Linked DNA regions of Caenorhabditis elegans. The protein of the gene in region 1 interacts with the protein of each later gene in a pairwise test. Each region holds a gene or a part of one and is shown on either strand. Other genes may lie near its edges. The genes, in order: ztf-3 and ztf-15.

The links.
Region 2: the proteins of ztf-3 (region 1) and ztf-15 interact in a two-hybrid assay, tested with the Caenorhabditis elegans proteins (one large-scale study listed by BioGRID).

The regions. Positions count from the first base shown.
Region 1 is NC_003279.8:285,350-291,067, forward strand, and holds ztf-3 (C2H2-type domain-containing protein), read right to left. Parts: upstream 3,837-5,718; 5' UTR 3,726-3,836; coding exon 3,624-3,725; intron 3,554-3,623; coding exon 3,401-3,553; intron 3,296-3,400; coding exon 3,209-3,295; intron 2,655-3,208; coding exon 2,160-2,654; intron 1,649-2,159; coding exon 1,525-1,648; intron 1,072-1,524; coding exon 1,022-1,071; coding exon of another isoform or gene 1,003-1,021; 3' UTR 691-1,002; downstream 1-690. Other genes in the region: marc-4 (RING-CH-type domain-containing protein), read left to right, coding at 209-289, 486-585.
Region 2 is NC_003279.8:7,253,442-7,259,303, reverse strand, and holds ztf-15 (C2H2-type domain-containing protein), read right to left. Parts: upstream 3,794-5,862; 5' UTR 3,778-3,793; coding exon 3,754-3,777; intron 3,710-3,753; coding exon 3,596-3,709; intron 3,551-3,595; coding exon 3,461-3,550; intron 3,413-3,460; coding exon 3,326-3,412; intron 3,284-3,325; coding exon 3,068-3,283; intron 2,884-3,067; coding exon 2,410-2,883; intron 2,271-2,409; coding exon 1,878-2,270; intron 1,577-1,877; coding exon 1,082-1,576; intron 1,030-1,081; coding exon 886-1,029; intron 836-885; coding exon 683-835; 3' UTR 605-682; downstream 1-604. Other genes in the region: Mitotic checkpoint serine/threonine-protein kinase bub-1, read right to left, coding at 4,173-4,662, 4,707-5,476, 5,522-5,709, 5,754-5,862.

The DNA.
Region 1 (5,718 bases):
CCGGACAACGCGTGGGAAAGTCGTGTACTCCACACGGATAAATTTGTTCAGTTTTACATTGAAAACCGAGCCGTGACACGCCGTAAATCTACCCCGGCCGTGGCCGAGTCAAAATGGCATAGTTCGGCAAATTCTTGAATTTCAAAATATGATGGAAGCCTGAAGCACGTGCGGTCATAAAAATCAATAAATTATCTTTTTTTTCCAGAGCCGAGTCCACGATATTCCGATGTATTTTCCGATTTTTTGTGATCAATAAGAATTGGATGATCAAAAACTACGATATCAAGTGAGTGGGCGGAGTGTAATTTCGGCGGGAAATTCAAAATTTTTCAAATTTTTCAGAAAAATTTCGCGCAAAGTTCAAAAACTCAAAACTTTCGGTAAATTTCGGCGCGAAATTCAAAATGTTAAAAATTTTGGGGAAATTTTGGAGGGAAAATCAATTTTAAAAAACGTTTGTTTGAAATTTTTTTAATTTTCAGAAATGATCCCGAAATGGCTCACCGCCGCGGTCTCCAGAAGTCTTCACCTGTTCCGTTAACCTTATCAGCTTCTGATATGTGTATCCACGTGTCATCCTAGTCAACAATTCAACGAAAAAAACCATTCCAGTTACAATTTCTCATTTCTTTTCACCACTTTCGGGTTTTTTGCAAATTAAAAAAATTTCGATTTTTTTTTTGAAATTTTAATTTTCCAATTTTTATTTTTATTCCACAACTCAGGTTGCTCAACAGTGCCTAAAATAAATTTTATTTCTTTGATTTTTTATAAATTTACAAAAAAAATACAACAAAAAAATAATATTACACATTCGTGAAAAACGGAAAAAAAATTCAGCCTATTTACATTAAAACACGTGGAATTTGAAATTTTAGCGATATATCGATTACCCTTTCTCGGAAAACTCGTAATAAATGTGAAAAAGGCGAGGAAATTGGAAGAAATAAATGCGGGGGTTTCTAGAAAAAAAAATTGGGAGAAAGTTTAAAGAAAAATTCAAAATAATGCTCCGGTGTCATCGTGTTCCACAGTGGTTAGATTCTGGTATTTTGTGCATGGTGTGCTCTGAAATTTAAAAAAAAAGTAAAAAATTGAAAAAAAAATTTCTTAAAAATTAAAAAAAATGAACTTTTTTTTAAAATTTATATTCAAAAATAAAAATGTTTGGTATACCTAATTATTCATACTTTTATCAATTTTCGAGAAACTTCAATTTTTCAACTGCTAACGTATACAACTCGCGTTACTCGAAAAAGACCTGGGGACTAGTTTCCCACTTGGTGGCCTAGAAATCTCCAGTAAAAACATCGACGACCGAGATATGAGTTTCTAGGCCTCCATATGAAAAAAAAACTCGGTCGGGGACTAGGTTTCCACATGATGGCCTTGATAACTTCAAATTTTTTGGTGACCTAGATTTTTCAAAACTTGGATTACTAGGCCACTAAAAGCTTTTCGGTGGCCTAGAAACCAAAATTGCGTGAATTTTTCATAATTCTATATCAAAATTGACTAAACCGAAAAGAATGCGATGCTTTTGCAATATTTCAGCAGTTGGTGTATCCCACGTGGCGACGGGATTTCGGGCGACCGTGCCATTGATTAGAGCCAACGGAAGATATTTTGAGCATTCGGCGGTGCTCTGCAAAAATTTTTTTTTTGCAAAAGTTAAAGACGCATGGTGGGTCTTGATCTATGAAATTTCGTGATTATTCGAAAATTTTTTGTCCTTATTGACAATTTTTTTATCCACAAAAAAGGCGGATGTCCTAATTGCCAAAAATGTGGGTTTCTAGGCCACGAAAAATAATTTTTTGCTTCAAACATCCTGCTTTTTTTCCAAAATTTAGCTTTAAAAAGTCGGTGGCCGAACTTTATTAAAAGTTCAATTTCTCGGCCACAGAAACTTTGTTTAAGTTTTCACATTTGGATTTCTAGCCCACCAATAACGTTTTTATTTCATATTTTTATAAAAATCGAATTAAAAGTAGATGATGACCTAGTTTTTTTTCAATAATTTGGGTTTCTAGGCCACCAACTTTTTTTAAAAATTTTCTTAATTTTCCATAACCAAAAAAAAAAAACAAAATCGATGGCCTAACTTTTTGGCTTCCTAGGCCACCAATAACTCTTTTATTACTAATTTTCCTCACTCTCTGATGTCGATAAACACTTTCTTGTCTCGAATATCGCTTCCCACACCCATCACACTCAAATGCTCCATTCGTCTCATGAGTGAGCAAGTGTTGATTGAGCCCATGCTTTTGCCGGAAAGTTTTCTCGCAGTCTCGACATTTATAAGGTCCATTGTTGGGCTGGGCCTCGTGAGCCGACGACGGGGCCGCCCGTTTTTTCGCCCTTTTCCCCGATTTTTCCGGTGAAAAAGTGTCGAAATACGCGTTATTGTCATCTAATTTTGGTACATTCGCCAACATTGCTAGATTCTCCTGAGCCACCTGTTGTGACGTGTGAGGAATGTGATGGTGCTGATAGAGGTCTGGTGGTGGCTGAAAATGGGGAATATTCCCGGCGCCGAACATTTTCAGAAGTTCCAGGTCGAATCGTTGTTGAGCATCCGCGTCGACTACTTGATTGAGGGAGACGGTGAAGTCAGTTGAGGAGGTGGATGGCAGTTTTATAGAGAAATCCTGCAAAAACTCAGGTTTTTGCTAAATTTTTCAATTTATCATTGTAATTTCCGAAAAATTATAGCTTAATTTTTAGATTTTTCGCTTGATTCTCAAGTTTTTATGCGAAAATTTAGTTTTTTGTCAATTTTTTTTTGTTTTAAATGTAAAACTACGGTATTTAAAGGGAGGAGCACTAATTTATGCCGATGGGTCTCGCAGCGAAAACATTAAATGCCTTAATTTAGCCATGCGCCTGGAAGGTTACTGTAGTTTTTATTGATTGATTTTTCATTCAATTTGTGGTTTTTGAAGGTTTTCAACTCATTTTGAAAGGCTTTTATAGATTTTTTTTTCTGAAAATCAAATTTAAATGTTAAAATAATTTTTTTTTTTTTCACACAAAAATAACAGAAATTCCGAAAAATTGCAATTTAAACAGCTCTAAAATATGAAAATTAACGCGATTTTTATCATTTTTTGCTTCAAATCGCTGACTTCTGGCAAAAAAAAGGAAAATTCAGCAAAAATCAATTTTTCAGAAAAATTTGATTGATTTTTGGAATTTTTCTTACCAATCCGTCGTCTTGCCGTAAATCCTGTAGCTTCATCTCCTTAGCCAGCAGATTTCTTACATCTAATTGCACGTGGCAATTGCAGTTCTGAAAAAAAAATGTTTTTGAGATTTTTAGAAAACTTATTTTGTAAATGTTCTAGGTGGGTTTTCAAATTTTTTTTTAAATTTAATTAAATCAAATTCTTCTCACCGTCAGTTTCTCTTTGACAAAATCGCTCAAATTCTTCTGATTTTCCTGAACTTTCTCCACTTTCACGGCCAAATCCTGCTGCTCACGCAAAAATTGTTTGACAAGACACGTTAGCTGGTTCACATTTGATAGATTGTCCGGGATTTTTATAATCTGAAATTTGAAATTAAGGATTTTAGCGGTTTTTTCGGCAAAACGTAAACTTTTAACGCTGAAAACTCACATTTTTCGAACTCCGCTCCAATAATCGTCTAGTGAATTCTTGAATAAATCCGGTTGCTTTCATAAAATTCTGAAATTCCTCATTTCCAATGAATTCGCCCATTTTCCGATGGAAGAAAAACCAATGGAAATACGGCAATATTTGCGCACAAAATCGATGCTGAAGTGTCGTCGGACGCAGTGTTTCGTGTGCAGTACACGCCTACGACAAATTGCGGACTTTTTTGTTATGGAGAGAGTAGAATAGAGAAGAAAAAAGAAGATAAAATGGATAAAAATTGCGCGTTTTTCTCGTTTTTTCTCTGAATCTCTCAATTTTTAGGTTTTCGATCCATATACGTCCCGAGTGGAGATGAAGCCATAAATTTTTCTCTAAAAATTGTTTCTTGCCCCTCCAAATCGCTTATTCGTTTTTAAAATTATGAAAAAAAAATGCTAAAAATGCTTACCAAACCGCAAATTTTTAATTGGAAAATACCCAATATTTTGCAATTTATAGTTTAAATTCAAGAAGGTGCCAAAATTTCTGCAAAATTGCATATCTTCATATAAATTGTTACATTTTTTGTAAAAACTTGAAAACCCTGCTTTTCACATAATAGTACTGGAATTTTTCAATTTTCAACAATTTCATAATTTTTGACCAATTTTTTATTGAAATTTTCAATAAAATATTTAAAAGATGTGGCTTTCCAAGCAGATTTTCCAATTTTTCCGAGTTTGAGTAACTAAGTTTCAACCAAAATGATGTCACAAGTCAGAAAATTTCCCTAAATTTCAAAACACAGGTGAATAACTATAGGATTAGAATCTGCAAAGATTGAGTCTGGAGATAATTTCGGACATTTTTTCGGATAGTTTACGTTTCCTGTAGTTTCAAATAGGCAATTTTACTTTAAAGGTTGCTAATAAAATTAAGAAAAATCCTTATATAGTCTCCACCCACAGATTGGCTTTTTAGATATTTTCAAAATATCTTGTAACGAAAACTACAGTAATCTTTAAAATTAAAATTATTACTGTATTGCTTTTGTCCATTTACGGGCTCGATTTACGAAATTAAATTTAATAATCTTTAATCTATAGAATATTAAAATTAAGCAAAAAATGAGAAAATAATACGAAGAAATGAAGGAAAATGGAATATCGGTGTAACTATCCGAAAATAAATTCATTTAGAAAATCGAGCCCGTAAATCGACGTTACGAAGAATTACTGTAGTTTTCGCTACGAGATATTTTGCGCGTCAAATATGTTGAGCAATACGCATTTTAAGAATTTACTGTTATCGTAATAGTTCAAATTTTTCGAGATAATAGTCTTCCAAAAAACTATTGTTTAAGGTTTTATTTTTTCCGTAATCTAAATTGATTATCACTAGACACTGTTCATTAATCATTCAGAACTTGTATAATCCATCTCGGTTAAATTGTTGGTGAGACAAAGTGTAATCTGTTCTAGTTGGGTCACACGATCCCTTTTCCACTCAATCGCTTACCCACTCAACACTATAGACTAGACACTCACACAGGAAATAGTATTGTTTACCTGTTTTCTTTTGGACACTGTTTATAACTTTTCCCTCTCCGTTTCTCTACGTTTAAATTTGTCAAAAATTAATAATTTTCTTACTTCCACATTCAATACTCATTTAATGACCGGTATTTGAAAATATTTTAATTTTTTAATCTTTAGTTATTACAGGAACAGTAAACTCTGGGAATTCGTATTGCACAACATATTTGACGCGCAAAATATCACGTTAGCTGGCATAATATTAGGCATATATTGTTTCTACAATCTTGTAATGTATAACTGACTAACATCTTTGAAATAAGTTTGTAAAACTTGTGAGTTGGAAAACATTGTGCATGGATGTCGTGTTTCGCGCACGCGCTAGAGTAGTCATAAAAAGATTACTGTAGTTTTCGCTACGAGATATTTTGCGCGTCAAATATGTTGTGCAGTATGCATTCTCAGAATTTTGTGTTCACGTAATAAATTAAATTGTTAAAAGATATAATAAAAGTTAAAAGATATAACAGATTTTTTCTCACTTCCCTAATATGTTTAATAATCAATCATTTTAAATTGTG
Region 2 (5,862 bases), 7.0 Mb from region 1:
TATCTTGTTTATAATCAAGTTTTTCTCAGTTTCCTTTTTCCTAATTGTTAAAGTTTCAGTCTCAATCATATTCTCTCACTCTCTGTTTGAACGATTCGCGCGCCGAGTCTCCGTTGATCTTTAAATTCTGTTGATTTCTCCCGACGCTCCACACGTCTGAAATTGATATAATCTGAAAGTCTCGTTGACATCATAATTCTTTCGATTCTAGCGATCGACCCTCCACATTATCAATCAGTAAACTGCCTTCCAAAAGCCCCAGGCTCTAGAAAATCAAATCAATTCAAAAAACGCAAACGGTGTGTCTGTCATCATCATCATCAACTCTTCTTTTTCAAGAATAAAGTTGTAATTAAGACTCTCTTATGTAAATACAATCTCTTTCTTTCTTTCTTCTTTTCTATTTACTCTGCACAAATGATGATAAGACACCAGGATCTGGCAGGATACTTCACTCAAGTAGTACGGTTTCGCGCTGTGGTTTTTTCCAGGAACTCCCTTTGCTTGGTAAGAATCACAAAACGTTTTCTTCTTGTGGAATGTTGAAGAACGAATAATAGTAAACATGGAGTTTAATTGAAGAAGGTTTAAATCTAGAAGACAGAACGTTCAAAATTTTATTGTCTGAAAAGTAAAGAATAAAGCACAAGGGAGCAGTACATAACATCGTATTAAGAATTATCTACTTTCTCGAGAAATGCGGTTGAATAGGAATGAAAATTTCACTTTCTTCTACGACGAATATTTGTACATTGTCCATGTAATCGTAATTGATGTCTTCTTCCGAATATCTTCTCGTAGTTGTTTCATTTGTAGATCTATTGTTCCTGCAATGCTGGTCATGTTGTAGCATATGTGATATAAATTCATTACATATAAACTTACCATCATATTATGATCATGGAGAGCACGATAGTTTGGAAGGGTTTCAGAACAGTTGTTGCATTGAAACATTTCTTTTCCGTGAGATTCGTGTCGATGTGAGCACAACGCTTGCAGGTTATGAAAGGAGGCGTGGCAATCTCGGCACTGAAATTATAAATTCTCAAACGTTATTTTTTAATTAGGAAAATTAACAAACCGTCCATTTCTCTGGAGTATTCGAATCTAGACGAACACGGGATGTGATTTTTCTCTGCAACGCGGCTCCATTTGTATCGCTCCTGTGATGTTGTCGTAAAGAAGAACTTCCCGGTTGTTGAATATTATCAAATACGTTGCCGTATTGACACGTCTTGCGATGTTCAGACAGAACATTCAAATTTGCAAAAGTTGCTCTGCAGTCAGGGCACTTGAGAACTGATATATTTTGAATATTGAAAAGTCTCTTATCTCGGATCTTGTATGGCTTGAAGCATTCGTGACGGTCAAGAGTGGTTCGATCGATACAGTTTCGGCCACATTGTTGGCAACGGAAGATTGAGTATTCCATACTCATATGACGACGAATCGAACTTAGTGTATTGAACTTTTTCGTGCACACACCACATGTTAGCATTGCAGTCAATCCATGAATTTGCTTCCGATGATGAAGAAGACTTGCAACACCGACACAGAACTTTCCACAGATGGAACACTGAAAACTTATAATGTAAGAACAACATATTTAGAGCTTCAATTTTGTAAAACATAATGATACCTTTGTCAATTTTCAATTTTTCAATTTTTCAATAGAAATCAATTTTTGCCGCAATATTGCAGATACAGCTACAGTAATCCTATTACGTATTCCCTTTTAATACAATCTTATCATATGAATCATTCACTTCAAAATGTTAAATTTACATTCTTTGGTGATAATTTAGATTTTAAGACATGATTACTGAAAGAAGTATGTTAACCAAACAAAAAGATTTAAAAGAAATGAAGTAATCTACCGGAATATTGACCAAATTCCCAGTCGAAGAAGATGAGGATGAAATGGTAGCATCAGCATCTTCGTCATCGTCATTGTCGTCTTCTCTTTCAGGTTCTATACCAAATAAATTGACATCTGGAACCACGCTGATCTCTCCTTCACGTGGTCGTCTGTCCCGCAACGAGTTGACATCCAAATGTACATCAGAAAGAGCTGGAGTAATGTCTGGACAATGCTTCTTGTGATAATCAAACCAATATTCATTTTGATATTTTTTATGACAGTTTGGACAGCTTATGGTTTGATCTAAAAGCGCAGGAGGAAGTGCAGTAGATGAATTACACTTTTCCATGTGGCGTTCGAACCAAAAACTCGAATTGTATCTTCGGTAGCAAACATTGCACTTGAATTCCTGCAAAACAATGTTTATGTCCCATCTCTGACTGAAATTTATTTTTTTTTTGTAAAACAAGAAAAAATAATCTGTTAAATTAGTTTATATTTTCAATTAGTGAAGTTCTCGCAAAAACGTTTCACTAAACATTCTCCACCTGAATTTCGTCCGTTGTTTCCAAGCATTTGGTTCTATGTTTGAGCAACCAATGATAGTGTTGATATTTCTTTCCACATAATACACAAGCGAATTGGAAACGGTCTTCTTTTGATTTTTCATGATTCTCATTAGACAAAACAACGCCACCAAATTCTTCATCTTGAATCTCTTCTTTTATTACTTTTATTTCTTCCGCATTTACACGTCCCGTTCTTCTTCGTTTTTTATCGTCGATTGTTTCATTTTCCTTACATCGATGCTTTTCCAAGTGCCATTTGCTGGCAAACGATGTATTGCAACCGTCACAATGATATACTTTGTATTCTTGACTTAGATGCAAATAGATATGTGTTCGCTTCGAAAACTCTTTTCCACAGAGACCACACATCATCATATCTTTCAGTGAATGTTCTTGATGACGATGATCAAGAAGACAGCGAATGGTTGAAAATTTGGATCCACATATTGAGCACTGAAATTGAAGAATAAAATCATGTTCAGAATGTTATGCTTTAGATTTTGAGAAATTTGATGGTTGGTACACACTTTTAAGTTGTAATAAATAAATCTATAATAGTGATATGGTATAATAGTGATAATAGTGAAGGTTTTTGTTCATTTACAGAGAATGAGATATAGAACTAAAATGAACTAACCGAGCAATTAACAATTGGATCTCCTCCTCTTTTTGTCCAATATTTGGCAGAGGGTTTCGATGTCAAATTACTACGCGACTGCCGGTTTCCTCGTGGGGTCCGTCTTTCTTCGATACTTTCATCGGTTTCATCGCTACTGTCTGACTGATTTAATAGTGTATCAGCACCTTCACAACCATAGTTGTTCAACACGTTTATGTATTGGACGCTGTTGTCCTGAAAATGTTCATTAGAAAATGAATTACAGTTGGTTTTTACACTATGGAAGCGATTATTCCACGAAAATGAGCCATCAGCTTGGTTGTACTGAACTCCGGACGGATTTTCGAATATTGAAAGATATTGCTGGAATTCGAAAATTATACAGCATTTTTACCAAATTTATATTTCAACCTCATCTTGCATTTCATGCTTTGGATCTCTGATTTCAACTTTATTCAATTCCTCTGTGACTTGTGAAGATGTGGATGGCACGTTTTTAGTCTACAACTCTAACTTTATGTTGAGGTTTCAATGAAGATTAAATACCAAAGATGGTCGAAGTGAAGCTTCGTCGAAAATTGCTTTGATATGACGAAGCAATTTTTCATCAGGCATGTCATGATAAAAACTGCCAATTTCATTTTCGACATTTGGTAAAAGCTGAAACTTTTTGCAAAATAAGTTGATTAAACACTAGCGCTCACCACAGTCTGATCTGATTCTTCCATTTTTACAAGAGGATGGCTGGAAAATATTTTAATTGTAATTTTTTCTAAATTCTTTTTTAAATATCACATTTTATGCAAAACGCGAAGAAAACAGTTGATGAAACAAAACGAATGTGCAACTATTTAGATCTAACTGTGATCTATTGCAATACTTCCCTTTAAAGGCGCATCAAATTTCTACCGTGATGGGTCTCGCCGCGCCCAATCTCGAATATCACGTTCAAATTTGGAAAGCTTTCAAAAACTGAAAACTTCGTTTAATTCAATTTGTTTTACCAGAAATAAATTAGATGCACAATTATTAAAGCTCCGAACGAGTTTATTCACATGATATCAATACAAAAGACAATAAAAGAGAGCAATAAGAGCACGAAATACAAATTCATTGTGTTGGGCTACTTTTGGTTGGCGGCAAGATCACAGGCCTCATTGAACTTGGAAACCGCCTGTCGCCATCCCGATGCTTCAAACTTTTCATTCCAGATTTCCGAGAAAGACTTGATCAGGATATTCCAGTCCGGAAGTGAATCACACGAAGGGATGTTGAGGAATCTGTTAATGACATCGTAGCAAGCATCGCGAAGAATGTTGCGCCTCTTGATGTCGACATTTAACGAATAGTCTCCAACGCTAGCTCCAGTCAACTGTGCATACTTTCCTGCAACAACGACAGCCATTGTTGCGGCGAATCCGAAGTAATCGGCTTGGTAAGTCCAAGAACGACCGTCAACCATTTCCGGGCAATCAAACGCTTCTGTTCCTGCTCTTCCCTTGAAACGCTGGTTCTTCAGTGGCATCATGTCAATGGCACGTCCCCAGTCGATAATCTTGATGACAAAGCTGTCGTTACTCATCAGAGCATCTTTGCCCCATTTATCATCGATCCTGAAAAAAGATAACGTCTAAAATTAACAAATGTTTTCCCATACTTTCTGGTGATCATAAAATTATCCGGTTTGATATCTCCATGAATAATTTTAGAGGCATGGACTTCCTTCACAACTCGGGCCATTTGGGTAATCAAGAAGCAGGTTATGTGCCAATTCGGATCCTTCATGTTATTCGCATATTCAAGCAGCGTTCCATATTCGTGGTACTGATTAACAAGAAGCGAAGCAGTTGAATAAACATAAGCATCCATCACTTCCATAATGCAACATTTGGCCATCAGCTCCAAACCTCGATCTTTCAGGCGATTCCGCATTTGGTCGCAAATGTACACTTCCCACGAACATGATGGCACCTCGTACTTCACAGCTACTGTCCTTTGATCATCGGTTACAGCCCGGTATACTTTAGCGTATCCACCTTGACCAATAAGAGTTTGAATGTGGAGCTTTTCTCCGCTAACCTCGCAGTCTCTCAGAGCTTGAATCTTCGGTGCTCGTTCTTGGAACTCGTGCATATTCTGGGGAGGACGCACAAGACACATCAATTTTTTTCGAAGAGTTTCGTCCCATGGATTGATGTCTCCTTGCTTGATAATTTCACTGCGCCGACGAATCTTGCAACCAGTGATTTCAGATTCGTTGTTTTCAGTGAGATTTGGAATTTCATCAGCACCAATTGAAAGACGTCTTCCTAGATTAGCTGTCAAACAATCGATAGATGAATCTTTAGGATCTGATCGTTCAGGCTTTGATGACTCTGTGACTGAGGGCTGAACGGCTTGATTTGCTGCTAGTGACTTTCGACGTGTCTGAAAAAGTTTGAATAGTATGTCGAAAATTTGTCTGGCACTTACTAATTTACTGAAAGTACTGCTGGTTGGAGCAACAAATACTGGAGCTTCCTGTTCGTGAGTGCTTTCCTCCTCTTTATTTCCGAAATATTCATCAATGTTGACCAAATGAACTCCTTGTGCGGGGGTCGATGTGACGAAATTACCACGAGACGGTTTGAAAAAGCCAAACTCGATTTCATCGTCATAAACTAAAAATTAAAACATAAGTTGTTATATTTTTCGATAAACCCACTATCATTAAACATTGTAGCTGGTGAGGTTTGCGTCACTGGAGAAACTAGGACAATTTCGGGTTGTACTTCAGATTCCTCAACTTTCTGAGATTCTTCCGGTTCGGCTGC